Arabidopsis thaliana: one gene and its partners. The protein of the gene in region 1 interacts with the protein of each later gene in a pairwise test. Each region holds a gene or a part of one and is shown on either strand. Other genes may lie near its edges.

Region 1 (7,572 bases):
ACAATTTGTCAAATTAAAATTTTATTATAAAAAAAGTTTTCCAAAAGCTTGTTTTCATAATAAAGCAACATAAAAATAATTTATATATTATAAGCTATAATATAATAAATTAAAAAAAAATCATTGTAGGAGGTATACTCTTTCATATGATTGTAGAAGAGGCGTAGCTTTTCATAGGATCAAGGAGGCGGAGACTACCATTTGATCCAAAATATAGATCTGAACATATGATCGCGGAGGTAGAGCTTACCGTTATGATCAAGGATGTAAATTTTATTATACGACCAAGAGGCAAAACCTACTATTATAATCGAGAAGAGGATATAGTCTTTTACTCCATATATATATATATATATATATATAATTTTTAATGATTTAAATTATTCAATATAATTTAAATGTTACCTCAAAAGCAGATCTAGAGTCGTGCGTGCTAGCGGATCGAGAGTCACTCGTGCAGATAACGTGTTGAATATTATATATTCTTTTTTTTAACGGCAAATCAATTATATTATATCATAAAAGTTGACATGATACATAACCAACCAAATACAACCATTGCAACAAATAAAGGAAATTGAACACAATTTCGATGAAGAAGTGGAAATGACCCTGCTTTCCGAACGGAAGCCTTACAGGCAACATAATAAATCTTTTAAGTCCCCTCTTCATACACTCGCAAGAGACTAAGGCTAACATCTTATAGATGAAACTCCTAAATGCTTTCTGCATTACTGTAAAAAATCTGATATGTTGTTAGATATGGTTTTGAAACATGACTTCTGAAATGTCGTTCGCATCTTTGCTGTTTAGTGACCATGGTTTCTCTTCTCATAGAACCTAAACTTTCCGACCAAGCGAAAGAGATAACATCATCATCAATGGATCGTGTCATCGAAAAGAGGAAGCCTTCGCCTTCGAGATAAAAATAGGTTGTCCCAACTCTAAACAGATTAAGACTGAAGATAAGTAATAATCTAATCTTAGATCGAAAGCCATACCCAATTCGAAACATGTGAATGCCTTCAAGCGACAAGGTTACTCCATTGATTCCGGGATCGAAAACCCAAATGATAACTCCACATTGCAGAGAAAATTCATCGGTTGATAACTGGAGATAATGCCGGTGTGAGAGACCACCGTATACAAACCTTATACAAGGACAATCAAAATTCAAAAGAATCGATATAACACACGATCAGAAACATCGACAAATGGATGCATTTATCCGTGAAATCAAGTTGAATTGATAGGCTTTCCAGATTGAAGAATGAATCACAATCGATAGTAATGATGTACCACCGTCACGATGTGGCAAAGAACATAAATTTGAGATTTTCGGTTTGCCGTTATTTACCACAAGAAACTGAAAACTTTGCAGAAATTAGAGAAAAGCAATAACAAACACGAGAATAGCCGACGCTAGAGAGACCGACGCCGGCCAAAGTGATGAAGTTTTGTGAAGTTGCCTTCAATGGCAGATCGCTTGGGAGAGAGAACGGTTGTCGAGTCGTTTGCGTAACAAAGTGATATTGAAGGGAAGTTAAAATGAGTAATTTGGCTAACAAAATCGGAACTTTTATTAGATTTTGGACCTTAATTTTTAAATAATATATTCAAATTTGTTGTGTGTTTTCAACTTTTTATATTATATATTCTAATATAATATAATATTATAGAAGTAATAAAATAATAAAGAAAAAAAGTGACGAGAGAGTAATAAAATAGACTTCTTATTGTGTTGTGATACTTACAATGAACTGAAGAGAACCAACGTATATATACAAGAGTTGCTTGAAGAGAAAGTTAAATTTAGATAATAGGATAAGTTTTAGTTAATTGGAAAATAAGATACTTAGGAAGTAAGTGACAAAAATAATAATAGTAGTATTTATCTAATCTCAACAGTATCTAAATAATTTGTGTTAATCGTAAAGTTTTATCACACAATTTACGAGAATATCACAAAACCATAATCATACATTTCACGCCCGGATTCATCAATGAGACCAAACATAGGTTTCAAAAATCAGTATTTACACACAATCAATAAATATGATCTGGATACATATATATAACTCAAAAAGGATCAAACATTGATTTACATACACACGTTTTATATTTGTATATATAGAAGATCTACAAAAAGAATCTGTTATATCGCCATTGTTGAAATAAAAACATCTTAGTACCAATCTCTTCGTGTGTGTTGTGTGACACTGATTCTGTCTTCATGTTATGTTCACTGCCAAAAACCAAAAACATGAAGAATGTTATCGGTTACAAGAGGAAAGTGATGAAAAATGAAAATATGGATTCAGAGTAGAAACATATAAAATTACTGATTGTCTTTTTGAGCAGCCATAGAAGAAGAGCAAGTTCGATGCTGAAGATCATACGCAACCATGTTTTATCCACCAAGAATCCGTAAACAGTGATCCCTGCTCTGTTGTTCTCTAGATAGGTCACTAAATATATACACAATAGAGAAACCAAATCAGTTAAAAAGGTGAAAATGATTTATTCCAATCATAGTCTAATTCAAGATTTTATTTACCTAGAGCTTGACGTTTCTGAGAAGAAATGGCGCGGGCAAAGATTGGATGTATCTCAAGATCATTGTCATCTCCTTCTCCTTCTTCATCATCATCAGACGATTGAACAACATTACGACGACGCGATAAAATCTGGGAATGTTGTGTAGTTGTTGGACATTTAGGAGTCTCTCCGTCATAAAGAACATCAAATGTATCTAAAGACGCGCACACGTTCCACTTTGTGGCGATGCTCGTTACTGATTGAGCTTTGTGAGTCATTTGTGTTGCACTTTTCAAGCATATGAATAGTCCTGACACCAAGCTTGTGGAGCATAACTGTAAGAAACAGAGACATTGATCAATATAATGTTTCAAAAACTTGCATCCCTATATGAAAGTGAAGAGGAAATCTTACCGCGAGCTCGCCAACTTCGTAGATATTAAAGGGAACACTAGCTCTGATGGTAGTCAGCAATGCCATGAACTGAGTGGCAGTGACGAAAAACAATGACAAAAGAATGAATCGTCTGAACCGGTGACTGACAATCTTCAGTTCACGACGGATTTTGAGATGCTCGGCGAGTATGGAACTGAAATCTTTGATCTCAGAGGCGAAGCAGCGTGCGAATTCATCAAGACGGAGGACCTGGAGGTGGCAGATGTTTTGGTAGAGGATACAAGCAATGATGAAGAGTGATGTACGGTAGAGCCAAGAAGAGAGCTGGAGTGTGCAGGCTAAGACATGGCTCAGCGTTGGGTTTATAATGTAAGGGATTTGGTTAAAGCCTGAAGCATACCACCAAATGCGATAGATAGCTTGAAGCGTTGTCGATGGAAGGACAAAGATAGCTAGTAGCTTCATTGATCTCTGCAACAATAAAACAGAGGAGACTTTCAAAAACATCAGGATTCGAGCCTAAGATGCAATGGCACGGTCAAGACTTAAAGTTCTAGGCCTGCGAGTTCGGTCAATGTCTCGGTTATCTCGGTATTTCGGTTAATGAAATTCTCCGAATCGAACCGATTTTCCCCGGTTAAAATCGGGTAAAATCGGTTAAATTGGTTGGGATTAAAAAAACATCAAGATTTGAGCCTAAGATTCAATGGCAGGTCAAAACTTAAAGTTCTAGGCCTGCGAGTTCAGTTAACCAAACCAAACTGAGTCGGTTATCTCAGTATTTCGGTTAATGAAATTCTCCGAATTGAACCGATTTTTTGGGTTTTCCCAGTTAAAATCTGATAAAGTAGGGTAAAATATGTTAATTTGGTTGGGATTAATATATGTTTTGGGTAGAAATCGGTTTATTTTCGGTATAGTTTTGATTTTTAGGCAATTGATCGGTTTAGGCGTACCGAAACCGAGACGTAAACCAAATATGATTCAATCTCTCCAAATTGAACCGACTGATGAACCGATTTTGAAAGAAAACTGAAATAACCGGTTCTTTACAATCGCTTCTTATTCCACTAGTTACCAATTTTAATCCCAAAAATTACGATTCTTAATCATGAAATTAGATTACTAATACTATAATTAGTCGATACGTTTAATTTACCTGGATTTTAGCTTCGTATCCGATCCTAACTTTATCGCTAACATCTTTAAGCTTATCGAAGAAGAGAAACCTTCGGATTCCATATTTCTTGGACCAATCTGAGAGACTAACGAACGAGATTCCGGCGAAGATCGATAACGAAAGCTGCACTAAACCGTCGTAAGGACGACGGTGTTTGAAATCGCAATCGGCGCAGATTAGCACGAAGTGTGAGATCATTGGGACGATGACGGCGAGGAGGAAGAAGATGGACCATGAGAGCAGAGTTTTGATGCGATTTGATTGATCAAACCAGAGGAAGAGTCTCGGGAATGAGAGTTTGGTGGCTGGTGATTCCGGTGGTTTTTGAATCGGGTCGGGTCGGGTCTCGGAGTTGAGGATTTGTTGGTTTGATGATTCTTCCATGGTCGGGTTTAGGAATAAAATCTGCAGAGGTTTGGACTTTTTGACTTGAAATGAAAGAGAAGCTAATAAGTTACGGCACTTTGGATTTTTGTAAGCCACCTGTACCAAACAGCATTTATAATAATAATAAAATATATTCTTTTCCATTAACGTTCGCAATTTCCGTTTAATATGTTTTTTTTTTTTTAACACCGAATCAATTATATTATATTATAAAAATATTATATAATACATGATACATGAAACCACTCAAATACGAATAAAATAAAAGAAATTGTACAATTTTGATAAAAAAATGGAAATGACCCTGCTTTCCAAACGGAAGCCTTACAAGCAACAGATGAAATCTGTTAAGTCCCCTCGTCATATACTCGTAAAAGGCTAACATCTTATAGATGAAACTCCCAAATGCTTTCTGCATCACTTTGATTAAACGAACACACGGATATGTTGCTTGAAATGGATCTCGATCATGTATTTTATAACACTCTACCCATCGTCGCCGGTTAGTGACCATGATTACTTTTTTCCATAGAATCCGAATAAATAGATCGTTTGACAGCGAGTACATCACCATCATTAGACCATGAACATGAATAAACGGATCGTTGGACAGCGAGTACATCGCCATCATCGGACCATGTGTTTGAGAAGAGGAAATTATTGTCGATGCCAATTCCTTCACTCAAAAGAATTTGTCTATTGATTCCTGGATCAAATACCCAAATGACTTCTCCAAACCATAGATTTGAAGAAACTTCATCGGTTGAAAACCGGAGATCACGTCGGTGAGAGAAACCACCGAAAACAAACTTTAGATAAGGAAATACACCATGATTCAAATGAATCGACATGACATGGGTAAAGAGACATTGGTGGGATGAATTTTTTCTGATTTCGAATATAGCAACGGGTTTACATGAAACTGGTAATTGTATGTCTCTGTTCTAAACATGACAATAAACACCGTCACCATTCGAAAGGAGAAGATAGGACGAGCAGAAATCCAATTAAGGGGAATATCTCCCATCACAATATTAAAAACAAAAGAAGAAAGGAGTAGAAAAGCAAAAAAACTACCGGCAAATGCCGGCAGCCTGTTAAAAAAAATGAAACAGGAAACTGGTTTTGTTGGTCGCCTCTGTAGTCGCCAAGGGAGAGAGGGAAGTTGTTGATTCCGTTTAATATGTTAATTTATCTAAAATTAGTCAAAGTGAAACTGAATTTAAAGTCTAAACTATGGTGACGATGGAATGGAACAAACACTATGGTCAAGAGATTTGGAGTGATATAGTTTCTTTGTTTTTTATCAGAAAATTATTTAGAATCTTTTTTTTACCCAATTCATATCCGATTTCAGTTTCAATTTTGTGAATTGTTGTTCGGTCTATTTGGACTAAACATATAATTATGTTAATATTGTAGGTGTAATATATATAAAAAAAAATTCGTCAGCTATCTGAAGTGTAGCAGACCACATCATAGTTTTTAAAACATTAAAACTAAATTAACAGTTACAAGACATATCATAGTTTTTAATATATTAAAAATAAATTAAAAGTTTATTTTTGAATATTTTTGTTGGTCAACGCCACAATCAGTTGATCGGTTAACCTTAAATTCTTTGTTTATGATGTTAATTACATAACGTCATACATTTCGTATATGTAGTCATGCAATTTATATACGCCAGATAGCTGATTTTCTTTATTTTATTTGGTATGTGTTACCATGTATTTATTATATCTCTTATCTTATGTAGCAGATGATTGATTTTTCTAATATAAATGAAAAGTTAAATATTTTTGGGATTATGGTTTCTATTAAACACAAGTGATCTTTTTTTTTTAAACGCATTACATGACTAAACTGTTTTTTTTTTTACCTTCCAACTAAATGTGTAGATCGGATTTAAACGCATATGGGATATCAATTTTATATCTACGAATTGTCAACCATCAGACTAATAATGTATATGCTATTATAGAAAATTTGGTCCCCCATGTGTCCTCCACTATTATAAGAGAAATAGTTTAGACGACAAAAAAATGCCACATTTCGTGGTTTATACAATGATTGATTTGTTATCTAAAAAACCTTACATTTATGTGTTGACATTTCAATTTCATGACAGACAAAACACGTCTCTACTTTTTAAGTAAACTCACGACACATGGAACTGTTTTACCGGAAATTTCATGCTTAAAATATATATGTGTGGCATTGTGTATAGCTTGAGCCAATTCGGTTGGGGATAGAAAATGGAGATAAAAAAAAGGTTATCGACTGATTTCGATCGGTGATAAATTAGTAAAACTAATATGTAGATATTTCGAAAAAGTAGTTTTTTAATAGAAATATATGAATTCATATAGTAGAAACGGGCCGTTTCAAAATTATATTTGACTTTGTGTTCAAATTTTTTAACAAACAAATTTTATATAGAAATTAAAAAATATGGACTCCTTTTGAGAAAATTTGAGAAAAGGAAAAAATTGGTGTTTTTGCATCTTGAATACATGCCTTAAACTGGGCCTGATAGAAACTACAAACATAAGTAATAAAAAAACATTTTTACAAAAAAAGAAAAAAGACTAATAAGATCAAACTAATTTAGCGTAATAAAAACTTATAAAATGATACAATTATATAAACTTATTTAAATTGCATGATAATTATGGACAATGTTATGTTTGGTGAGATTAGAAAATCGTGGGATTGTAATATTCAAAAAATCGAGAATAGCCACGATAGATCAATAGGATTGAGGTAAAAATGTTATTTGAATGAGTGTTCTAGATTTTCTAATTCTTCTTTCTTCTTTTCTTTCAGTAACTTTTTTCTCTTTTTGCTTTTAAACTTCTTGAAAAAAAATCATTCTTCAATCATTAACATATTTTATTATATAAAGTATGGTTTTCAAAGTTGCTAACTCATACGATCGTGCCACGTGTCAAGTCAAACGATCAGATGTTTACATGTGTCATTTAAAATTTAACTTTTTTATTTTCTAAAAAGAATAGAAAATCTTAAAAAATAAACAAATTTACATATACTAATTTATATGTTTATAT
Region 2 (7,553 bases), on another chromosome or scaffold:
TTAAACTAATCTTAATTATATATTAATTAGTTAGACGATATGAAAATTGCCTTTTAACTATAATGACTATATGTAGAAATTAAGACTCCTGAATCCTGTGATCACAACATGCTCTGTTTTCTTCTGATGCTTTTATTACGAGTTTTTTTTCCCCATATTATAACATCACATTTAGACATTTCGAGTCACAAATCGAAGTTTAAGAGTTTTACATTTAGATGATTACAAAGAGAAGAGTAATATATATATACCTGAGCAACAAGAAGATGACATACATGTCAATTGATCTTTTACTCCATAAGAAAGGAAACATACATTTACCTAATCTTAAGAGTTAAATATATAGCTCATGTTAACTGAATAACTACGATAATGACGATGAAAACGGATTTTACATGTTTCTCCGGATCGTGGGACATTAGGGCATCTCCATTAGTTAGAGACTAACTAGGTCTATGACTAGAAAATACTCTTGTTTTTTGTAAAACTCTTCTTCTTTTTATTAAACGCAGGTACAAGACAAAAACTGATTCATCATTGCATAAATTGAGTAGTTACACGAAAAAGCAAAGTCTAAAGACATCATATCGATACATTGTCAGTGAGCTGGACAAAAACTCACTACTTTCCTCTCCCTTTGTCTAATTGAATCATATACACAAGTTGAAGTTCAGTCTTGGGACAGAGTAAATCACTTTTGCAGCATGCAACCAAAGGTAAAAGCATTACCAAACATACAAGTAAAAGTTAAAACTGAGAATTGAGATTCCTTTAATATTTGAGTCTGCACTTTCCCCAACTTTTATCTTCATCCACTGAAGTTGGTTCTAAGATAATTTTAGTCTGAATACGTGCTTGGTATTATTAGTAAGTCAATAAACATGAATTGGGGTAATCAAATGGAAGTAGACAACAAGTGATCATGCTTTGATTGGTGACTAACCTGCCAATAATCGTAGGATTGCTGACTAACACTTACTAAAAATCATATATTTTAACAAGAAACAAATTAAGAGATTTGATGTGATATACAATATCAAGCAATCTTATGCAACAAGAATGATGGGTTGTAGATGAGTAACGAAACATGATGACTCAAGCTGTAGATCAAATATGAAGTTTGCACCAAATGAGTCTTTTATTTTTTTAGTTTACCAAGCAACTAACAAAGAATCATATGGTTTGGTTTGAGGAAGCGGTATCTACGATGAACTCGACCAGGTGCTGAAGATTTCGATGATCATATTCATAGTATACTTACTCTCCTCTGTTTTTGACGCCTACTTTAAATTCTAGTGTTTTTTCTTCTCGAGTTGTTTTGTTTTTCTTTATAATTAAGCACAATGATATATTAATGTCGTATGGAATCATATTTATGAACTCTAGGTAGTTTTTCTAATACCTAATCAGCTACTGGTTAGCATATAAAAATATAGGAGAATTGTGAACATGAGTATATATGGATGATCTACAAGGATATCAATGTTTTTGAATGTCATGTTTTGATATTCTGGTTATGTTTATAAAGACAAAAGGAGATAAACAATAAAGAATTAAACAATATACTTTTTAACAAACAAAATTTATCAGCGGCCAGCTTCAATGTCAAGCAATGCTACATTCTTGACGCTGTCATAACCACGGCTATTGGTATCGCCTTGGGAAGACACGATGTTGCTACCAAGCAAGTGTAAATTCTCCTCTCGATACTGATCCGACCAATTATGTTTGGTTGTTTTGACGCTCAAAGTTTCTAGCTCTACAGCTACTTCTTTCATCCTTGGCCTTTCTTTTCCCATTAGCCTTGTACACTCTGCAGCAATTCTTGCAGCTTCCTGGATCTCCTTCAGATTATCCTCGTTCAACACTTGGTCGTCAATAATCTCATGCAACCTATTCTCTTCCGTGGCAGAAACAAAGTAACTCACCAAATGTTTTGAAGCCTGTGGCCGTTCAAAGCACAATGCCTTTTGACCTGAGAGCAGTTCCATGAGGACTACCCCAAAGCTATACACATCGCTCTTCTCGTTCAGAAGCCCTGTGGTATAGTATTCTGGGTCTAAATAGCCTAGAGTGCCTTGCACCATAGTATACCAAGTAAAGGAAAATATGAACATGATTATTGATGATGAACAAACAAGCTCTCAAAGCATATTGATGAAGCAACAAATAAGTGGTTTTCTTTTTTTACAAACAAAAGAGATACATGTGATTTTGTGAGCAATATCAGCGGCCAGTTTCAATGTCCAATATTGCTACATTTTTGATGCTATCATAGCCAATGCTGCTACTGGTTTCGCCTTGTGCAGACAAGATGTGACCACCAATCAAGTGTTCATTCTCCTCAGGATACTGATCCGACCACTTATGTTTGGTTTTCTCGACCCTCAAGGCTTCTAGCTTTGCAGCTACTTCTTTCATCCTTGGCCTTTCCTCTCCCATTAGCCTTGTACACTCTGCAGCAATTCTTGCAGCTTCCTGGATCTCCTTCAGATTATCCTCGTTCAACACTTGGTCGTCAATAATCTCATGCAACCTATTCTCTTCCGTGGCAGAAACAAAGTAACTCACCAAATGTTTTGAAGCCTGTGGCCGTTCAAAGCACAATGCCTTTTGACCTGAGAGCAGTTCCATGAGGACTACCCCAAAGCTATACACATCGCTCTTCTCGTTCAGAAGCCCTGTGGTATAGTATTCTGGGTCTAAATAGCCTAGAGTGCCTTGCACCATAGTTGTGAGCTGCTCTTTATCCATTGGTATAAGCTTAGAAGCGCCAAAGTCGGCTACTTTTGCAGTTAAGTTTTCATCCAAGAGAATATTTGCAGTTTTGATATCGCGATGGATGATTGGAATAGAAGCAGAGGAGTGAAGATAAGCAAGAGTTCCAGCGACTTCTATCGCTATTCTGAGGCGGTGTTCCCATGTAAGAGAAGAATCAAAAATGGAACCGTGCAAGTGATCGAAAAGGGTGCCATTGGTAATGAATTCATAGACCAACAAGGGGACTTCAGTCTCTAGACAGCAACCCAAGATCTTGACCACGTTCCTGTGGTTAATTTGTGAAAGCACGAGCACTTCGTGGATGAACTGATCTACTTGTCTACTGTCTGCAAGCCGAGCTTTCTTTATAGCAACGATAGTGTTGTCCGGCAATATCCCTTTGTAGACTGTTCCTTGACCTCCCTGGCCCAAGATTCTGCTCTCATCATAGCCATTAGTTGCCTCTTTCATGCCTTCCTCAGTAAAGATTTTGAAATCAATGTTTGACAACCCTGCTCCTGAAAGTCGCTGTATCAACATGCCACCACCATTTTGCTCAAAGAATTGTCGTCGGAGCTTGGTATACTTCCTTTGCTTCGTTGCATGTTGTATACAGATCGCAGCAAGCAGGAGGACCAAGACGCCGATTATGATTACTGATAACATCATGCATAGATGATTAGAGCGAGTTGATTTAAAGAGAATCTAGAACCAGTGAAGAGTGTTTACCAAGAAAAATTCGAGTCCGTTTGTATTCGGGCCTCGTGCAGCTCATACTGGAGTTTAAGTCGTAACCAGATGGACACTTACAATCGAAGCCTCCATCCCTGTTTCTACAGGTTTTTGGATCCGAACAGTTATGTGTATCACTAATACACTCATCGATGTCTGACCAAAGGAATAAGTGCACAAGATGCAACCAAAAACGTATGAGGAAGATTATAAACACTCAAAAGAAGAAAGAAAGCAAAGAAATTAATATGAAGTACCTTTGCAACCCTCTGAACGGTATGGATTCCCATCATAACCTTCATTACATTTGCAGATATACCCGTTTCTAGTAGTAGAATTGTAACATGAGCTGTTCTTACCGCATATTCTTGTGCTTCCAGCTTGCTCACATGTCTGGTTTCCAATAGACCAATCTAGTGCCACAGGGAACCTCGTGACATTCCTCAGATTCTTAAGATCTTTTGAAGAATCGAAGTTAAACTTACCATCTTCAACGAGAAAAGCGTAGGTGCAAGGATTAAACTGATATACCGAAGTATTAAATAGATCTAAGGAATTATTAACTTGGTTTCTCAAGCGAACTGAGCCAAATTGGAATGTATCGCTATCGAACGGGACAGAGAAGTCCTCTGTTGTGCAGCAACCTACACCATTACATCTTCCATTTGCCTCTGGTTGAGAATTGCATAATGACAAGCATCCAGTTGAGTAGTTTTGCTTTCCAAAAGTGCTCAAAAGTGATAAAGCGTTACATCCTACTAAAGTAAACTTGTTGTTGGAGGAGAGAGAGAAACTACTACCCAGCTGATACCCGAGGGCAGTTCCATTAGTCTCATTTTTCTGCTCGTAGCATTCAGAGAATCGTTCAAACAGTACACTTACATGGCCACTGTGAGAAATATTGGTCACTTGAATGATGCCAAAGAGTAGTAGCTTCTCTTCCACGACACAGGTGAGATTGAAATTATCATCTCCGGGATAGTAACAACCTGTAGAAATACCAAAAGGGTACTCTATTGTGACGTTTCCACATTTAAGTTTACAATCTTCGCGAGGTTGATGTTGCCCCTTCACAAGCTGAGTATATGCAAGGAAGAAAATAACCACCAAGAACACACCCTCCTGGAACTTCATCTTCTACCTTTCTCTTTCTTTCTCTCTAAACTTGTTTCTCTTTGAGTTTTCTCTCATCGCTTATTCGCTTCTTATAGCTTGAAAAGTAACCCCTGATTTGACATTGTTGAATAATCAAATGTGAAGAAAAGTAAAGATTCAGACTACTAGACGTTAGAAAAATATAAATGCGTCAACTTCTTTATCTGTCCTTTCTTTCTTGTCTTGATTTTTCCAGGAAACTCCAATTTATTGTTCATATATGAAAGTCTCGTTATAGTGACAATGTAGGAATAAGACTCATCATGATCACAACATGCTCTGTTTTCTTCTGCTGTCGTAATAGTAGAAATATGTAGTTTTTTTGTGTGTGTGTGTGTGTTGAGTTTATAAATGTCAACAAGTTTTCGAAGAATTTGAATAGTTCTTGCCTCATGTGTCATGTCGCTGCTTACTCTTCAAGAGGTTATCTATGAGAAATTTCCATGCAAATCCACCACTTTGTTAGAAACTGAATCTCCTTCTAGAAACAGAACAGAGTTAAGAACAGAGAAAGAGAATCAGACTTTGTATCACAATTGGTTTGATCGTCAACATAACAATAAAGAGAAGAACTTGTCTTTCTATTATAGAGAAAGTGAAATACAACAACTGTTTTACAAGGTTTACAACAATTAACTTAAATACAAACCAACAGACATGAAAAGTCAAGAGTTATGACTCTTCTTTCTTGTGACACAACAAACATAACTACTTTAACTTAACAGACACGACACTTAAGTAATATATTACAAACCAAACTCAATTACGACCAGCACTCTTTCACCGAAAGAAACCAGATTCATTCAAAGAAACTGAGGGAAAATCTTGAGAAAAAACTGAAAATACACTGTTTGATGATTAAAATAATCTTTGACAGACCAGACTTAGAGATTTTAAGGGTATAGTAGAGGTAGCTTTCTCAATTTACTAAAGATCAGAGTTTTAACAAAAAAGGAAAATTTGATGGTTACAAAACCACAACAATCTTATGCAGCAAGAATGATAATTTAATTTAGAAAACGCAGTATTAAAATTTTAATAACAGAGCAATATATGAGTCAAGTTGTTTATCAAATAGTCAAGTTGTTCTTTCATACTTTCAAAGCCTTGTATCAAAAACGTTATTTTTCTTGAATATAATTTAACATTACATTCAAAAAAAAAAAAAAAAAAAAAATGTCAAGTTGTTCTTTTGGAGTTACGTACATACCACGCATCTTAAGTTAGAGATTTCTCGTTTACTAGTTTTTACTTCTCATGTAGTTGTGCATATGTTTGTTTATTACTGATCTAATTCCAAAATCATATGTTAACTTGTTTACATTTTTGTCTTCGTCTTGTTGCTCGTGGATATATATAATTGCATCTTTGTAATCATTTCATCATAATATCGATCACGTTGACGGAGAGTGCTTTTCTAGAATCCACCAAATTTTCTCATGTTTTCACTATATATATTACTTATGGTTAAAGATCATAAATTTTTAACAAAATAAGAAAACTTGATGGCTTCAAAACCAGAGCAATCTTATGCAGCAAGAATGATTTTGTTAATTTAGAAAACGCAGTATTAAATTATAGATGCCAGTACCAAAACAATATATGAGTCAAGCTGTGGATCAAATAGGATGTTTTAAGCAACTGAGCCCTTTAAATTCGAGTTATTGTTTTGCAACCACAACAGTATATCAATATCTCTGCTAGTAGATTCATGAATTCTTAATTTTTCTCATACCGAATCGTCTACTGGTTAGCTTACCAATCGAATGGAGTTATAAAATGAATAATTGATGATCTACAACGGATCTCTCGAGCATAAATGTTCTTGAATATCATGTTTTGATACTCTGTTTTTTTTGAAGTGTTAGGAAACATATAGGACATAAGCAATAAATAAGTGGCTTTACTTTTTCACAAACAAAAGATTGATAAATATCAGCGGCCAGTTTCAATGTCCAACCTTGTTACATTCTGGATGCTGTCATAGCCAATGCTACTGGTATCACCTTGCGTCGATAAGATTTGAACACCAAGCAAATGCTCAACCTCCTTGGGATATTGATCTGACCACTGATGTTTGGTTGTTTTGACTCTCAAGGCCTCTAACTCTGCAGCTACTTCTTTCATACTTGGCCTTTCCTCTCCCATAATTCTTGTACACTCAACAGCAATTCTTGCAGATTCCTGGATCTCCCTCTGATTATACTCGTTCATAACTTGACCGTCAATAATCTCATGCAACCTATTTTCTTTCATGGCAGAAACAAAGTAACTCACTAGATGTTTTGAGCTTTGTGGCCGTTCAAAGCATAATGCCTTTTCACCTGAGAGCAGTTCCATGAGGACTACCCCAAAGCTATAAACATCGCTCTTTTCGTTCAGAAGCCCTGTATTGTAGTATTCAGGGTCTAAATAGCCAAGAGTTCCTTGAACCATAGTTGTGAGCTGCTCTTGGTCCATCGGTATCAGCCTTGATGCACCAAAATCAGCTACTTTTGCAGTTAAGTTTTCATCGAGGAGAATGTTAGCAGTCTTGACATCTCGGTGGATGATTGGAATAGAAGCATAGGAGTGAAGATATGCAAGAGTTCCAGCAACTTCTATGGCTATCCTCAGACGGTGTTCCCATGTAAGCGAAGAATCAAACATAGAACCGTGCAAGTGATCAAAAAGAGTGCCACTGGAAATGAACTCATAGACCAACAAGGGAACTTCAGTCTCTAGACAACAGCCCAAGAGTTTGACCACGTTCCTGTGGTTTATTTGTGAAAGCACTAGCACTTCGTTGATGAACTGCTCTACTTGGCTACGGTCTCCAAGTCGAGCTTTCTTTATAGCAACAATGGAGTTATCTTGCAATATCCCTTTGTAGACTGTTCCTTGTCCTCCCTGGCCTAGGATTCTGC
Region 3 (8,757 bases), on another chromosome or scaffold:
ATCGCCTTGCCAGTTGATTCTACTCGATTCGTACATGGCTTCAATCTTTTTTATAGCAATCACTGACATAAAAAGTTTCGATGATGTTAGAAAGTAATACATGAAAAATGCATACATGAGTACCATGCTTATGTTTTGTTTCCTAGATCACTAACCATAAGACATACCGTCAATTTCATTTGTTTCGGATTGCGGGAACTGGATGACTGCATAGATTTCCAAAGCGTTAAGTAGAGGTGGAAGAGTTGATCGGTTGGTTCTTGTTAGCTGCAAACTACATTTCCCTTCTTGGCAAGTTTTTGGGGTCACACTTTGGACACTAGTTATGTCAAGTTTCTTAGGAATGATAGGGTCAGAAAAAACTTCTCCGTTAAATAGGATGTTGAATTCTCTGGTATCATTTGCCTGCAAGTCTTGGATCTCAGCAAAGTGTGCGTACAAGTAATATTGGTCCCTGGGACTTCCTGACTGGGACTTCCTGAAGGCCATTCAATCGTCAATGGTGCACTGGCATTAGTCGGTGTGGCAGCATTTCTTAGCGCATCTTTCGGTGGAGCATAATTGTTGGAATTGTTCACTTCAAGAGCGGTATAAATCTGGGTCCATCCCGTCCGAAAACTGGCTCCATATGATACCCATGTGCGATCATATACATCTTTCATGTAGCTGGGGGTGGGAAACAATGTTGTTTTAGTAGTAAAACAAAAAAAAATGATCATATTGATTGCCTTAAAACCTTATGTATGACCTTTTCTAAGTGTCAATGAAAACAACCCTTGTATTGAAACAGAGCAGAAAGAACAAACAATGATCAGTTGAAGTTAACTTACCGTAGATCAGATCCTGACTTGCTAAGATATGTTCGTGATAAAAGATTCAAGGAACCAGACTTAGTGATATAAGAACCATTTCCCATAATTCCAAAGCCGATATTAGCGGTATAGTTTCCCCAGTCTTAACAAGACAAATCTGCAAAGAGTTTGATGTTGGGATGTGTAAGATCTCTTCCGCTGTACCATTAACTTCTGTTTGCAAATCCACCGTGGCCCATAGATTAGGTCCAAGATACAGATCAAACTTTGGCTTAAGGTCAAAACCATCATAATTTCCATATACAAACCTAGCCACAATCAAATGTGTCCTGCCCTTCTCAACGTTTAGATTGTAGCAGTTCCTTATTCCATCTGGAAAATATCTCAGCGTACGGCTTAGCGTATCCCTGAGGATTTTCTCGGATTCGACCGTTTTTTCCACTACGTATGAACTTTTCATCCGAAGAGAACCGCAGTCCAGTGAAACTCTCTTCATAAGGAGACAGTTCATTCGCAGGGAGTCCGCAATCCAAACTGATGAATCCTGTTGGCAGACATTTATAAAGATTATTCTTTAAAACAATGCACTTCTGAGAACCAAAAAGTTTGTAAAAGAATGTGTTTAAAAGGGAAAAAAAAGGTTTCTGATACCTTGTTGGTCTTGAGCTCGAACAATATGAATGATGGAGACTAGCAGGAACAAAAGGCCAAGAGAATTCTTCATATAATCATCTTCTCTAACCTTCCAAGGAAAAATCAAGAAAACCATTTGGCTAGGAAGAAAATGTAAAAGCCGAAAGAAAGACTTTGCCAAGCCAAAAGAAATGAGTAAATGCATTTTCTATTCAACAAAATGAATAAGAAAAAGAGGACAGCAAAGTCCCAACATCACTATCATGAACTCAATCATGGAAGATATGGAGCAGACCCAGAAGCACGTTAAGCAATAAACTATCACATCAATTATATTTGACATAGCCTTAAGTGAATGGTGAGCCTAATAATTTCAGAGTACAGATAAATGTATGTTGAGAAATCACAATCCATAATCTGTTTCTTTAATTTTATATACTATTTGACAGTTTTAAATCAATACTCTTCCAACCATTTTACAAATATTTAACCAAAATCATTTGTTTGTTAATGATGGAACCACAAAGAGGTATACTCTTTTACGGTCAATGATTATTAGCATCCAAGCCACACATACAAAGAATGAAAACATCACTAAGCACACATAAAATAATGAAAACATCACCAAGTAACAGGGTATATGATCTTGGCATGTGGATGATCAAAGCAAACATGACCAATAGCCCAACTAATTAGCATGGTTGTGTTACCTGCAGCACATACTACCTTGCCCTCGGAAACAACTCTGTGTCAAAGCTCATGCTCACTTTAAGAGAATTCTGAGAGTCCATATTCATATTTTCCCTCAAGTTTTCAGAAACAAGACATTCTTTCAGTTCATTAGCAACTTGGGACATGTTTGGTCGGTTCACAGAAGAAGGATTCGCACACGACATTGCCAGTTCAAGAACTCTCCATACAGAACGAGATTCGTAATCCCCGTTCAGGTTTGGATCCATGATCTTAGTAATATCTCCTCGGGTAAGCTCAAATCCAACCCATTGTGATATGTGAGACTTTGAACGGGACTGGTCAATCACAGGTTGGTTTGTGATAATCTCCAATAACACAATTCCGAAGCTGTACACATCGCTCTTCTCACCCAGTCGAGTTGTCTGGTAATATCTGCACGGCAAAAGTACATGGTTATACTCTCTAACCAATATATAAAGTGCAAAATGACAACTCACTTTCAGCACATTGTAATGGTAACTAACGACACTTACTCAGGATCAAGGTATCCAGGAGTACCAGCAACCACAGTTGAAATATGTGTTTCACCTCCAATAGGGAAAGATCTCGAAAGGCCGAAATCGGCAAGCTTGGCCTTTAACTGTTCGTCCAGCAATATGTTTGTCGTTTTTATATCTCTATGTACAATTGGTGGTGTGCATCCAGAATGTAGATATTCCAATCCTATTCAAAGGAATGATTATTTGTTAGTCCACCAGAAGGAAAGTCATTTTAAGCTGCCAATATTGGCTAATAAGCTTACGAACCTAGTGCAGCCTCCAGAGCTATTCGTAGACGATTACCCCAGTTGATAAAGGACCCACCGCTTTTTCCTGAATACTTGATTCTTTAGATCCTTGGGAACGTTGAAACATATATACACTTTCGAATCATGAAGAAATTCAAGTTTACCAGATAGATGTTGTCTTAAGTCTCCCTTGGGCAAAAACTCATAGATGAGAGCCAAGTGATCTCTTTCATCGCAATATCCAACAAGACTCACCAAATTTGTATGGTGAACTCGTAGAAGAAGATCAACCTAATCATTCATGGGAAATAAAAGTAAGAGAAAGCGTTAGATGGTCATATTTTTAAGAAGATTATGCATACCTCTGCCTTAAAATGCTTATATCCTTGACTTGATGATTGAGAGAGAACTTTAACAGCCACCTGTTCAGAACCATTTATAGTACCATGACAAACAACACCGAATCCTCCTTCCCCTACAACTCTTTGAAAATTATTCGTCATTTTGATAACCTCTGAATAAGTAAACCTTCTCTTTTTCGTCTCGATTGATGGTTCAGGTGAATTATCATGAACCATTGGCATACTCAGTGGAGGTTGTAGAGCTATAGATAAGAAAGAAAAAAAGTAGGGTATGTAAGAATTCATCGATTTGTTGCAGTTTCTTGATTTGATGAGAGATCTCCTGCAAATTACCTCCCACAGTAGATGACTTTTTCTTACTGAGAACAAAAATAATAACCAACACAGCAACAATTATGGCCACAGAAGCAACTGATGCAACAATCACCACCGGGAATTTCTTCTTCGAGTTTTTTTCTGTGCAGGAACCAGAGAGACAAAGCCTTGGGTTGCCTTGAACTCTGCAAGAAAAAGAGTGTTGTTAAAAACATCAAATCACAAAAGGGCTGTGGAAAATAACTGTGGAATATTAAAAAGTACGTGGGAAGTTTCTTACAGTAATTCTAGTCCCTCTCTTCGAAGACCTTGAGGAAGGGGACCACTAAGATTGTTGCCGCTTAAGTTTCTATTAAAGAAGAGCAATCTTCATGCATACAGACACATGAACCAAAGGAGAACTGAAAGTAAACGAAAATATGCTGAGCAACTTACATGATCACCAACGATTTCATCTGGGCTAGAAATTCCGGCACCACTCCAGTTAGTGTGTTATTTGACAAGTCCCTAAAAGTTTATTTCCAAAATAAAGTAGAGCTCATTAGGTTTTCCTCCATCAACAAAACCAATATTAACTATGGCCATACTTACAGTTTTTCTAAATGTGTAAGGTTTTGAATTGCGGCCGCAATGATTCCAGTTAAACCGCTCGAAGACAAATTTCTGGTGATTCCAAAGCATGATAGTTAACTTATTTTGAAGATAAGTGTCAAAGTGTGCATGTTCATATCTTGGATCTTACGACTTACAAGGATAATACTCTTGGAGGTTTAGAAACATCTGTGTTGTTGCTACAGTTCAAACCATCCCACGCATACTTTTGAGGGACGCAAGGATCTCCTTGCCACCTGATTCTACTCAATTTATAGGCAGCTTCGATATTTTTAACAGCAACCACTGATGTAGAGCTCAAGGATGTGAGAATTAGCAGGTGAAGTTGATTTCTCTAGTTAAAAAAAAAAAACAGACTGTATCTGCATAACAATGAAGATAAGTAACATACCATCATTTTCATTTGTTTCCGACCGTGGAAATTGGATAACTGTGTAGATTTCAAGAGCGTTAAGTAGAGAAGGAAGAGTTGACCTCGAGGTTTTTATTAGCTGGTAAATGCAATTTTCTCCTTTGCATGTCACTGGAGAAAGATTATGGATAGTAGTCACCCCTAACTTTGGAGGGATGAAACCTTCTTCAACAACAGCTCCATCCCATAATATGTCAAATTCTCTGGTATCATTGGTCTGTAAATCTTGTATCTCAGAGAAGTGGCTGTACAAGTAATATTGGTCACCAGGATTGTCTGGTGGCCAACTGATTGTCAATGGCGCGCTGGCATTAGAAGGCGTGGCAGCCGCTGCAAGAGCCTTTTTTGGTGGTTCATAATTGTTATCATTGGTCACTTCGAGAGTGGTGAAAATTTGGGTCCAATCATCCACCATAAAGTAATTATGCCATCTGCGATCATAAATATCATCCGGGTACCTATGTGGAACAAAGGTTGTATTATCCTTGAATAAGTATAGGAATGTTAAAAATAAAGAGTATAGGAATATAGAATCCATCACTGTTAACCAAAAAAAAAACACTTACCGAAGAAAGCCATCTGTCTTGTTGAGATATATCCGAACGAAAAGATTCAAAGAACCATCTGTGAGATAAGAATTATTTCCTAATGGCCGTAATTCCAAGGCTGAGATCAAGGGTGTAGTTGTCCCTGTCTTAACAAGACAAACGTTCAAAGAGTTTGATGTTGGAGTGTGAAGGATCTCCTCCATTGTACCATTCACAAACTTTTGCAAATCTATAGTTGCCCACAGATTAGGTCCTAGATGCAGTTCAAATATCGGGTTAGAGTTACGACCATCGTAATTCCCATAAATGAACCTAGCCCTGATCAAATATTTCCTGTTCTTGTCAACACTCAAACTATAGCAGTTCCTTCTCTCCTCTGGAAAATACCTCAGCCTCGTGTACGGCTTAAGGTAGTCATTCTCCATACTCGCCTGGATTTTACCACTTTCACCAGTCTGGATGAATTCAGCATCAGACGAGAACCGTAGTCCGGTTACTGACTCAGTATAAGAAGACGGTTCAGTCATGGGTAACCCGCAATCCAAACTGATAAACTCTGTTAAGAGAGTGAAAAATCAAAAGCATCTCAGATACAAACATAACTAAGACTCGAATCAGTAAGAAGTAGTAGTGTAATATACATATAAACCATTAAGATTTAGGTACCTTGTTGATCCTGAGCTTGAACACAACCAATAATGGCAAAAGCTCCTAATAGCAGCAGCAAAAGCCAACAAGGACTATCCATAATTGCTTTTAGATATCAAAACCTTACCAATGCCAGAGTTTGAGAGAAACACAGCGTATAAATAGATAAACCCAAGAAACAGTCCAAGCCTCTGGCAACATGGCAAGATGTCCTGAGTCAGTGAAACGAATGAGTAAATGTGTTTTCTATTGCAACTTTACAATTACAAATTTGATTTGTCCCAAGAATGTCAGAATATATGCAACTTGTATTTAGAAAAAATAATATGCAACTTCTGTGTTTTTAAGAGAATATGTCAATAGAGGGTTTTACAGTCACCACTCTTTTAACGCATTAAAAAATGTTCACACAGAGAGAAAGCAAGAGATTTGACTTTCTAGTGGTCAGTGACTTTGATTGAATCATATCGGATAATTTATCACTAATTAATACACATTTTGACGTCTTCATCGACAAGAACAGCTTCTAATCACAAAGCAGAGGATTCACATTTATCAACAATGACTATTATCTAAAGAGAAGTGGGTCAACATGAAGAAACAAATTTCAAGACAAAGACGCCATTATCAGATATCTAAAATCATAAAGTTCAAATTTTTAAAGGATTTTCAGTTACATCATAAACTGAGAAATTACCTTCCGGCCATGAAACTGAGAGAATTTTGATTCCATCTCTTTGAGCCGGCCCAATAACTTTTGTGAGGAGGAGGACGAATGTGAGGAATCTCCGGAGATAAATCGGCCATATACGGCAGCGAAATCTCCCGTCGTGAGAAGGACGGCGATGACAATGAGACCTCTTCATCGGCGATTAGCACTGTTTGAGAACGCGATTGGCGATTTGGAGTGCTGGAGAGTAGCGTTTTAAACGCAACGGTATGTATATTTTTCAACGTTGCTATAATAACAGAAATAATTGTTATGGGCCAAACATGGGTTTTATCAGCCCATTAAACAGAAAATAATGAATTTGGAGTGCTGGAAACACGGTCGCTGGAGAGTAGCTTTTTTAAACGCAACGGTATGTATATTATTCAAGCTTACTTACAGAGTTTCTAGTTGCGTAAGATTTTGAATCGCAGCAGCCATGGTTCCAGTTAGACCACTTGAAGACAAGTTTCTGGTGACATGTCCAAAACCACATTCAAGTGTCACAACTACTAACGGATATTGAAGAGCGTCTGGTCAGAAATCGATATTCTTACGAAAAAATTACGGTCATTATTTTCGTCAGAAAATTGTGACCATTTTCATACAAAATTGTGACGTATTTATTTGGTCATAAAAACGTTACTATTTCGTTATAATATTATGACTTAATTGAATGTAACTAATGTTTGTCACTAATTATGTCAAATTTGTTACAAATTATATAGTCATAAATATAAGTACGGATTTGCGACCAAATATAGTAACTAAATTATACGATAATTGTGACTGAATTTATGTCATGTATAGTTACGAGAATTTTGTAACAACGATGACACAATTTGTCACTGTTTTAGTGACTTTTGCGTTTGGTCATAGATTGTGACATAAGTGTTACCAATTTTAATACAAAAATAAAAACTTGTGAACAAAAAATTAAATAAAAAAACTTCTTCAGTTTTGGAAACAATGTTTTTGATAATACAAAAAAAGCTGTAAAAAGTCCAAATGAAAAAAAAAATTATTCGGATTCGTCACTAGTTAATTCGATATCAGAATTTCCATCTTCAGCATCTGATCCATCTTCGGCTTCTACTACTGGATCATCAAGATCTTCTGGTTGGGCATCTAGATATGATAGTGTCTCGATTTGTAATGAATCAACTTCAACAATAGAATCATCGTTATCATGCTGCATTGCAGTGAAATCCAGATTTTTGTTATCAATACTTTCCCTCTCGGTTGTATCATAATTGCTGCTTCCCATTGTTGATCTTTTCTCGGCTGAGTCATCCGTGGATATGGAACATAACATACCTGATCTGCTTGTGAAGCCAAAACAAAAGGATCATACTCTTCATAATGCCTTTTAGCATTAATATCAATAATCCCTGACTTGTTTCTTCGTATACCTCTCCCAACTTTTGAATCATACCAATCACACTTGAAGACCACGACCTTGAGATCAACATGTCCAGGATAATGAAGCTCATAAATTTCTCTCAATATTCCATAGAAATCAGCTTCTTCATTTGAGCTAGAAGATGTTGTACCTTTGACACAAACTCCATAATTGGCATTCTTTTTGTTCTTTCCATGATCATATGTATGAAATATGTATCCACGACAAAAATACATTGGCCAACAAGTAACTTTAACCATTGGACCATGAACAATACTCAACAACCACTCTGGATATGAATTATCCTTCCAAGTATCCTCCACCTGATTCAATATAAAAAGACACATACTATATTATAAGCTATCAAGTATTTATCTCATATAAAAAAAAAATATCTTACATATTTTTTTAACCAGCTTGAATATTGCTTTTCTCTAAGCTCATTTAGATCTTTTTCACTTATCCCAGGATTAGCCGCGATCAAGCTCTCATCAAACAACCTATATATACATATATAACCATGAAAAATATTTACAATGTCTTTTACTAATTCTACAAAAAAAAACAAAATCCATACAGATGTCCAAATTATTTTGTCATACCTTTCAAATGGTCTTAATTGATCGCAGTTCCGCAAAATATATCTATGTGCGATATGGTAATCTTTATCTTGGAGCCATATCTCACTTTCTTTCCCACTGTCTCTTCCTGCCTGAGAAAATATATCTGGAACTCCATCAAACTCATGTGTATCTTCTTGATTACCACCATCATAGTGTCGATCTCCTGCTCGATTTTTTGTCTTGATGTGTCGATCAAAATAA
Region 4 (6,945 bases), on another chromosome or scaffold:
AAAGTACAAAGATTAAGCATTTCTTTTAAATGTAGATCATCAGCATAAAAGCCTACAGACATAATCACCTGCGAGAAATTAACAATCACGGGAAGAATGTGTTGGACACAATCCTGAGGCTCCAACAATTTCCCAAGAGCAGCACAACCCTCAACGGCCAATAATCTAACAGAATCTTGATCTGATATGAAAAAAACGTAAGATGAAATTCGACAAATATATATGCTGTAGAGTAAATAAACGCTCAGTGTTCAATACCATCTTGAGTAAGATCCTCAAACATGGACATAACGTCGGTCTTCAAATGCGCTGATTCAACCGTAGCAGCAAATTTCCCAAGATTAGTTGCTGCAGCTCTCCTTACCATCGGCATATCATCCTGACAAAGCTGAGTATACAACGATCTTAACTCAGTCTTCAACATATCCGGCGCGCTCGGGTATGCAATATGGAAAACACCGCAAGCCGATACTCTAGCTGTGAACCACTCACCAGCGGCAAGTCGCTTAACTAACGAAATGAAATGATCAACCAAGTCACTCTCCCTCATCTGAGAGCCAACTCTACAAAGCGACTCAACAGCTTTCTCCCTAACACAAGTTTCTTCGACAGTCGAAAGAGTTTCCAAAGGTGGAAGAAGAACATGTGCATACTCAACACCACCAACATAAGGAATAAACACACCCAATTCTTCAGCCATTGCTAATAAAACCTCATCATCATCGTCATTGTTTTCGCTAAGGAAAGGGATCAATTCCTTTCTAGTCCTCTCTTCCCCAAGAGCACGAGCGATCGTAGAAAGCCTTCTGATGGAATTCAATCTTAGCTGAATATCATCGTTTTTTAACTCGTCTATAAGTACGGCGATTGGGTACAACGGCTCATCGATCATAGACATCTTCAACAACACCAACAACAAAATTACAGCATAATTATAACGAGATCGTAAAATCAATTTCCAGAGCCCAATTCTCAGGAGATGATCAATTAGGCGAATCTAAATTACCATTTCTATCAAAAGATAAACAGACCAACAATCAAATCGGAAATTGGGTCTTACCTCAACACAAACACGGCTCAATTTTCTCCTCAACGAAACACAAAATTTCGTTCGACCTACGAAGAAAAAAAAGAGGATCTAATGGCGAAATGTCTCTTTTCTTTATTGAGAGCAAACGACGACGTCTTTATTTAATTGGAACCATACCCTTCTTAAATGGGCTTTAACGGGCCTTTTGGCCCACGACGTTTATGCTGTTTCGGTCAGGACTTTACTTTTGCGATTCATTTCTTGCAATTTACCAATTTTATAGAGTTTTCACTATTCCTTCGTGAAATATAAATTCAAATGTGGAAAAAACATTACCGATACAAATGATAGAATTTTCTAAAAATGACATAACAAAATTTCCATAATATAATTACATTTGTTATAAGTACAACGACAATATGTGTGTATACTAACAAATTAAATTGATTCATCTTCGAGATTGAGAAACAAATGATATGCAAGTAAACCAAAAACAGGAACAAACCTTAGATACTTCACCAATTCAATCTTGTTCTTCTTCACATTTTGCAGGTTCTCTCCAATCAACCATGGCTGAAAGATTGTGTACAGACATATATCCCATATAAACGCGTAAGCTAGTCTCTCCGATCCCAAATAACCAATCAGATACTGCCATCTGTCCATGATTCCACCGAAATCACCATCTGCTCGACCGTAGAGAGACCACAATGCTGATATCAGACACACCGTAGCTCCGGTCAGACCAACTATTGGTGCACCTTTGGTCATCACTTCACCAAGTTGAGACCTTTTGCTTGGTTTATCATCTGGGTCAGCGTCATTGAGCCGTAAAGCCATGTATGGGATTAGAAACGCTGTTTGCAACATGAGATCAACAGAACCAATAATCTAGTTTAGAGGGTTGCTTTCCAGAGAAACTGAACTTCTTAAATAAAAACTAAAGTTGTATTTACTGTTTGTAAGGAACATCATGAGACTCCATAAGACGTCAAGAGAGCTTTTGTATCGATTTCTCTTTCGGTCTGTGTATAGCAATGGAGCAAACATGAGTGTCCAAGCTATTACAAAGTTGAATAACCCTTCAGCCATCTGTTGAATTTAAAAAAAAAAAAACAATTTCAGAACGATTTACTTTCACTAATACACAAAAACCTGTTCAGCTCAAAGGTACAAACCGGGTGAAGAACAGGAGCTTGTAAGAAGTGAATACCAGCTGTTCTGTCACAAAGTCCATAAGCAAGAAACTTTCATCAAAGATCAAACAGGTAAACGAAATCGATATATCTTAAGGCTGAACATACCGGCGTTTGTAAGAGGCAAGACAAAGAAGAAATTCAGAGAAAGTCCCAAAAGAGAATTCACTGTCTCTGAACTAATTGCCCAAACTGGATCTCCCTGTTGATCATAGAGATTATTTTCTAATTAAGCAACCATACAAGATTACACAATCTAAGATAATGCTAACCACAAGCACATATCATGATAATCTATAGAGAGAAGAGCAAATCTCAGTAATAAGTTGAAGATAACAACAAAACTATTCGATTCTCAAAGCATTCAAGCAGAGAAATTGAAAAAGTTCTCATTCCTAAAATCATCCAAAATCCAAATTACTTTTGAAGATTCATCAATGTGATGCTACATAAACCTTCCAAACATTCACATAATCCATAGATAAATTAGTAGCCACATAGAACTATGGCTATATCAGGAACTATGAGTATGATTCAAAAAGAACAAACCTACTAGATTCTCAAAACATTCAAGCAGAGAAATTGAAATGGTTCTCAATTCCTAAAATTATCCTAAATACTTTCAAGATTAATCAATGTGGTGATTCTACATAAACCTTAGAAACATTCACACAGATATATCAATGTCTCAATCTCAGGAACTATGAATACGAATTTTTGAAGGTATTATCACTCACAGGAGCGTAAGGGAGAAGAAAGAGCCATAGTATATACACAGCTTCACTAGTCCATAGAAGATACCGAACAATTCTCCTTATAGAATCATCTTCAACCTCTACCGTCGCCGTCTCCGGTTTCCGGCGAGCACAGCATAAGAAGGAACTGTCTCGTGTTCGTAATTTGAAACGATTCGTAGACTGCCATGGATTGTAGCAGCGATCGACTGTGGAGATTTCTCTACTCCGAAGAAAATGGCGGCGAATTTGTGGCGATTTGATTTGGGAACTGTGGAGACGGTGACGGAGATATGTCAACGTCGGTGAGGTTATCAGAATCATCGTCGTCCCTTCACTGCATTATCCACCGTTTAGTCGGAGAATTTTTTTTATTTATCTGAGAGAGACTTGCTAAAACGGCAGCGTATTGGTTATCTAAATTTGAAAGCAACGACGTCGTTTTAATTGAATCGAATTACACATTACAGTTGGCTTTAAACAGGCCATTGGCCCACGGCCTTATAAAACGCCGTTTCGGTGAGACACTGAAATTGGATAGTCACATCATTATTATGGGTGCTAAGCCAAATATCTTTTTCATCATTATTATTCGACATTCCTCAATTTTCGTCAACTTCTTTTAACAACCCCAAAATCATGGTTATATAACTTTGCTTTATATCTAGAGGCTTAGTTAAATAAATAAATAAATTCAAAATTAAAAGAACATTGAATCATGTAGGCAAGATTCAATTTCAACTATTTTGGTTAATTTTATTATTTATTTTCATTTAATTATTGTGGAACGTATGATTTATTCATGTAGATAGTTTTCTAATCTCATTAGAATATCTTATCATATAATTTAAGTGTGGACCAAAACATAATTTATTTCTTCTACGTTATTTCTCTTTTTTTTTTGTGTGCAAAATACTTGTATTCATTCAATCAAGAAAGAACCAAATACAAAGAGAACTGACTTATTTCTCTATATGTAAATTATTGAAGAAATTATACCTTTTAAAAAAATAAAAATGTATCGAGATACATTTAAATTTCTGTTGTATGTAATGTGTATACGTGTAATCCAATTTCTTGGGATTCTATATAATTATTTATGTTGTTATGGTCTGTACAAAAATATCACATGCTTATAATATAAGAGATATTTCTTTTATACGTATGTATTCTTTTAATGGTTTTTAATATAGCAATATTAAGATTCATTGTTCATCTAAATAAGTTTTTATTAGTTAGCGCAAAAATAAAAACTCGTTTGGAGAAACAAAAAATGGTTAAAGCGATTAAATATTGTTTTTCAATACATTAAAATTGTTTGCCATCTTCTAAAGTTGTTTACTCACTTCAGAATACATATGATACTCTCTAATGGGAAGAATCCCATGAGCCAAAACCAATTGTCTTTGGAGTAGAAAAAACTTATAGATCTTTTTGTGGAATCATAACCCTAGATTCAGTAGGGTTTATTGAAAAAGGAAAAGATAATACATATCCTAACAAGACATATCCAAACTAATCCACAAAAAAACTAGACGATTCGTGATATATTGGAGATATCAAATGTACGATGTGGCTTCGAATTCCTGCCAAATTCAAAGGGATCTAAAAGGTCTTTAATGATTCTTCATATGTCATGAATTTCTACTACATTGGGATGAAAGTAAGTTAGTTAGTTTTTATTTGTTTGCTTTTCATTTTTGCTAAAATTTTTGATGAATTTTATCAAATATAAAACACAGTAGCGTAGACTATATTGTTAAATTTTTTTTGATGAATTTTATCAAATTTAAAAATACAATAGCGTGATTTTGAGAATAAAGCCTATAATTTTCCTTCATACGGCTTATTGAGTATACATTAGAACTATATTTTTTACAATAGGATAACATAGTTCTGAAATGAGTAAATTGAAAAGAGTTTTTGAATTGATTGAAGTATGATTCTGGTTGTTTAGAAAAAAAAAAAAAATTAATAAAAGAATTAAACCATTATGTGTGAACTGTGAATCCAAATATTGTTCTTTTTCTCACTTTTATTAGTTAATCACTGATATATCTCATCAATCATAGATATTGTTTGCAAAAATACTTAAACCGTTTTGTGTACATTACGATCACAAAACAAGAGAATCACATAACCTTTTTTTCAAACTAACTTTTTTTATTAAGTTGAATCAAATAAGTTTACTTCTATATTATTTAATTATATCTCTCTACAACATTTAAAAACCAACACGTAAATTCGTATTAAAATAATATGGAAATTGTTTTTTCAAAATCCTCTACACATATAAGTTATTTGAATCATTAAAACGGAGTTACAAACTTTTTTTCTTCGATTATCAATGTTTTTCTCCTAAAGAACAAATGAAATCGACGACAACCTAATTTTTTTTGGCATGTCTGCCAACAAAACTCATAGCCATCAGATTGAACTGTCTTGTAATCAAACTTGAACTGTCTCCATCACTTAATCTTTGTACGCAGTTTTTATAACTTCTATATTTAATCATGTAGAAGATTTTAATTAGATAAATTTCAGTTACAAAAAGTGGATATTAGACATTGCGAAAAGAGTATTGACATGCAGCAAAATTGGGTAAAGTTTGTCACACTATTTAATTGAATATACTTGAAAAATAACTATTTATCTGGTAATCTTGTAAATAAAGATATAATAATAGATATCTTTAAATAATTGACTATGATTTATAATTTTATATGGTGAAAATAGAAATAAATTTGGTAAATAAGATATTGTAGTTGGCACATACACAAAAATAAACTTCAAGTTAAACCAAATTGGACAACCTATTGAAAAAAAAAAAAAACAGAAACAAAATCATGTACCGAAATAGTGTTCTAAGTCATCATTCTGACTCTGTCTATATAAAGTTATAAACGTATGTGTTCTCCAATATATTCAGCCAGAAAGAAGAGAATCTTATACTAATTCAATGGCTACTTTGTGTATAGGTTCAGCTCCTATTTACCAAAATGCATGTATCCATAATTTTCGTCTTCAACGTCCTCGTCGTTTCATATCCAAATCCATGACAAAAACGATGCCGGATGCTAATCCTCTTGACCTCCGTCGACGCTCGGGCAACTATCAACCTTCTTCATGGGACCATAGTTATCTCCTCTCCATCGAGAACAAATATGTGGTAAAGTATTCGTCATTATTAACGTTTCATTTGGTGACGTTTTTAATTACAAAAGTTGTTACTACACATGTAAATATTTTGGGAAAACTGACATGTGCATGGTTTTATTGGATCAATATTATCTGACAGACTATTTTTCTCATGAACTCTGGTTAGTATACATTTCATACATAGATATATATATATATATATATATATATATAAGAACATTTGGTTATACTTTTTTGTTAAAGGTATTAAGATAACTAATGTATTAAATATTTAACAAAAATGATTTATATATGCTATTAGATCATAAATCTGATTTTCTTTCTCTAAAATATCTCTTAGTAGCTAGTATTAAAGATGACTTACTAATTAGTTATAATATGATGGATACAGAATGAAAAAGAAGTGATAACTAGACATGTGTTGAAGAAAAAGGTGAAGAAGATGCTAGAGGAAGTAGAGACGAAGAGCCGTCTCGAGAAATTAGAGCTCATCGATGATTTACAAAAGCTTGGGGTTTCGTATCATTTTGAGCAAGAAATAAATAACATTTTGACAAATTTTCATCTTGAAAATGGAAAAAATATTTGGAAATGTGACAAGGAAGAAGATTTACATGCAACCGCACTCGAATTCCGACTTCTTAGACAACATGGTTTTGGTGTCTCAGAAGGTTAGTATTTTCACACTCGGTAAAAACGAAATGAAAAAATTCTATAAATTAGTTTCACTGTATAAATATCATATGTAACTAAAAAGACCATGCATTTCAGATATATTTGATGTAATCATCGACAAAATCGAAAGTAATACGTTCAAGAGTGACAA

The links.
Region 2: the proteins of AT4G03820 (region 1) and WAK3 interact in a protein complementation assay, tested with the Arabidopsis thaliana proteins (one large-scale study listed by BioGRID).
Region 3: the proteins of AT4G03820 (region 1) and AT5G59650 interact in a protein complementation assay, tested with the Arabidopsis thaliana proteins (one large-scale study listed by BioGRID).
Region 4: the proteins of AT4G03820 (region 1) and AT3G25805 interact in a protein complementation assay, tested with the Arabidopsis thaliana proteins (one large-scale study listed by BioGRID).

Annotation. Positions count from the first base shown.
Region 1 is NC_003075.7:1,769,883-1,777,454, forward strand, and holds AT4G03820 (transmembrane protein, putative (DUF3537)), read right to left. Parts: upstream 4,651-7,572; 5' UTR 4,646-4,650; coding exon 4,094-4,645; intron 3,406-4,093; coding exon 2,953-3,405; intron 2,874-2,952; coding exon 2,558-2,873; intron 2,469-2,557; coding exon 2,281-2,468; 3' UTR 2,246-2,280; coding exon of another isoform or gene 2,232-2,245; 3' UTR 1,962-2,231; downstream 1-1,961.
Region 2 is NC_003070.9:7,431,376-7,438,928, reverse strand, and holds WAK3 (wall associated kinase 3), read right to left. Parts: upstream 4,695-7,553; 5' UTR 4,627-4,694; coding exon 3,750-4,626; intron 3,649-3,749; coding exon 3,490-3,648; intron 3,417-3,489; coding exon 2,227-3,416; 3' UTR 2,099-2,226; downstream 1-2,098. Other genes in the region: AT1G21245 (Protein kinase superfamily protein), read right to left, coding at 1,587-2,087; WAK5 (wall associated kinase 5), read right to left, coding at 6,583-7,553. UniProt on the Arabidopsis thaliana protein: Serine/threonine-protein kinase that may function as a signaling receptor of extracellular matrix component. Binding to pectin may have significance in the control of cell expansion, morphogenesis and development.
Region 3 is NC_003076.8:24,028,511-24,037,267, reverse strand, and holds AT5G59650 (Leucine-rich repeat protein kinase family protein), read right to left. Parts: upstream 5,923-8,757; coding exon 5,841-5,922; intron 5,731-5,840; coding exon 5,193-5,730; intron 5,085-5,192; coding exon 4,629-5,084; coding exon of another isoform or gene 4,606-4,628; intron 4,547-4,605; coding exon 4,352-4,546; intron 4,266-4,351; coding exon 4,194-4,265; intron 4,110-4,193; coding exon 4,038-4,109; intron 3,952-4,037; coding exon 3,883-3,951; intron 3,788-3,882; coding exon 3,621-3,787; intron 3,530-3,620; coding exon 3,288-3,529; intron 3,217-3,287; coding exon 3,090-3,216; intron 3,011-3,089; coding exon 2,945-3,010; intron 2,862-2,944; coding exon 2,672-2,861; intron 2,571-2,671; coding exon 2,168-2,570; downstream 1-2,167. Other genes in the region: AT5G59660 (Leucine-rich repeat protein kinase family protein), read right to left, coding at 1-62, 168-362, 440-666, 831-954, 1,017-1,120, 1,206-1,356, 1,464-1,581. UniProt on the Arabidopsis thaliana protein: Required for accurate photosynthesis.
Region 4 is NC_003074.8:9,424,886-9,431,830, forward strand, and holds AT3G25805 (uncharacterized protein), read right to left. Parts: upstream 3,393-6,945; 5' UTR 3,285-3,392; coding exon 2,964-3,284; intron 2,429-2,963; coding exon 2,335-2,428; intron 2,247-2,334; coding exon 2,209-2,246; intron 2,123-2,208; coding exon 1,987-2,122; intron 1,888-1,986; coding exon 1,469-1,887; 3' UTR 1,353-1,468; downstream 1-1,352. Other genes in the region: PP2AA2 (protein phosphatase 2A subunit A2), read right to left, coding at 69-181, 259-898; AT3G25810 (Terpenoid cyclases/Protein prenyltransferases superfamily protein), read left to right, coding at 5,920-6,129, 6,511-6,790, 6,891-6,945.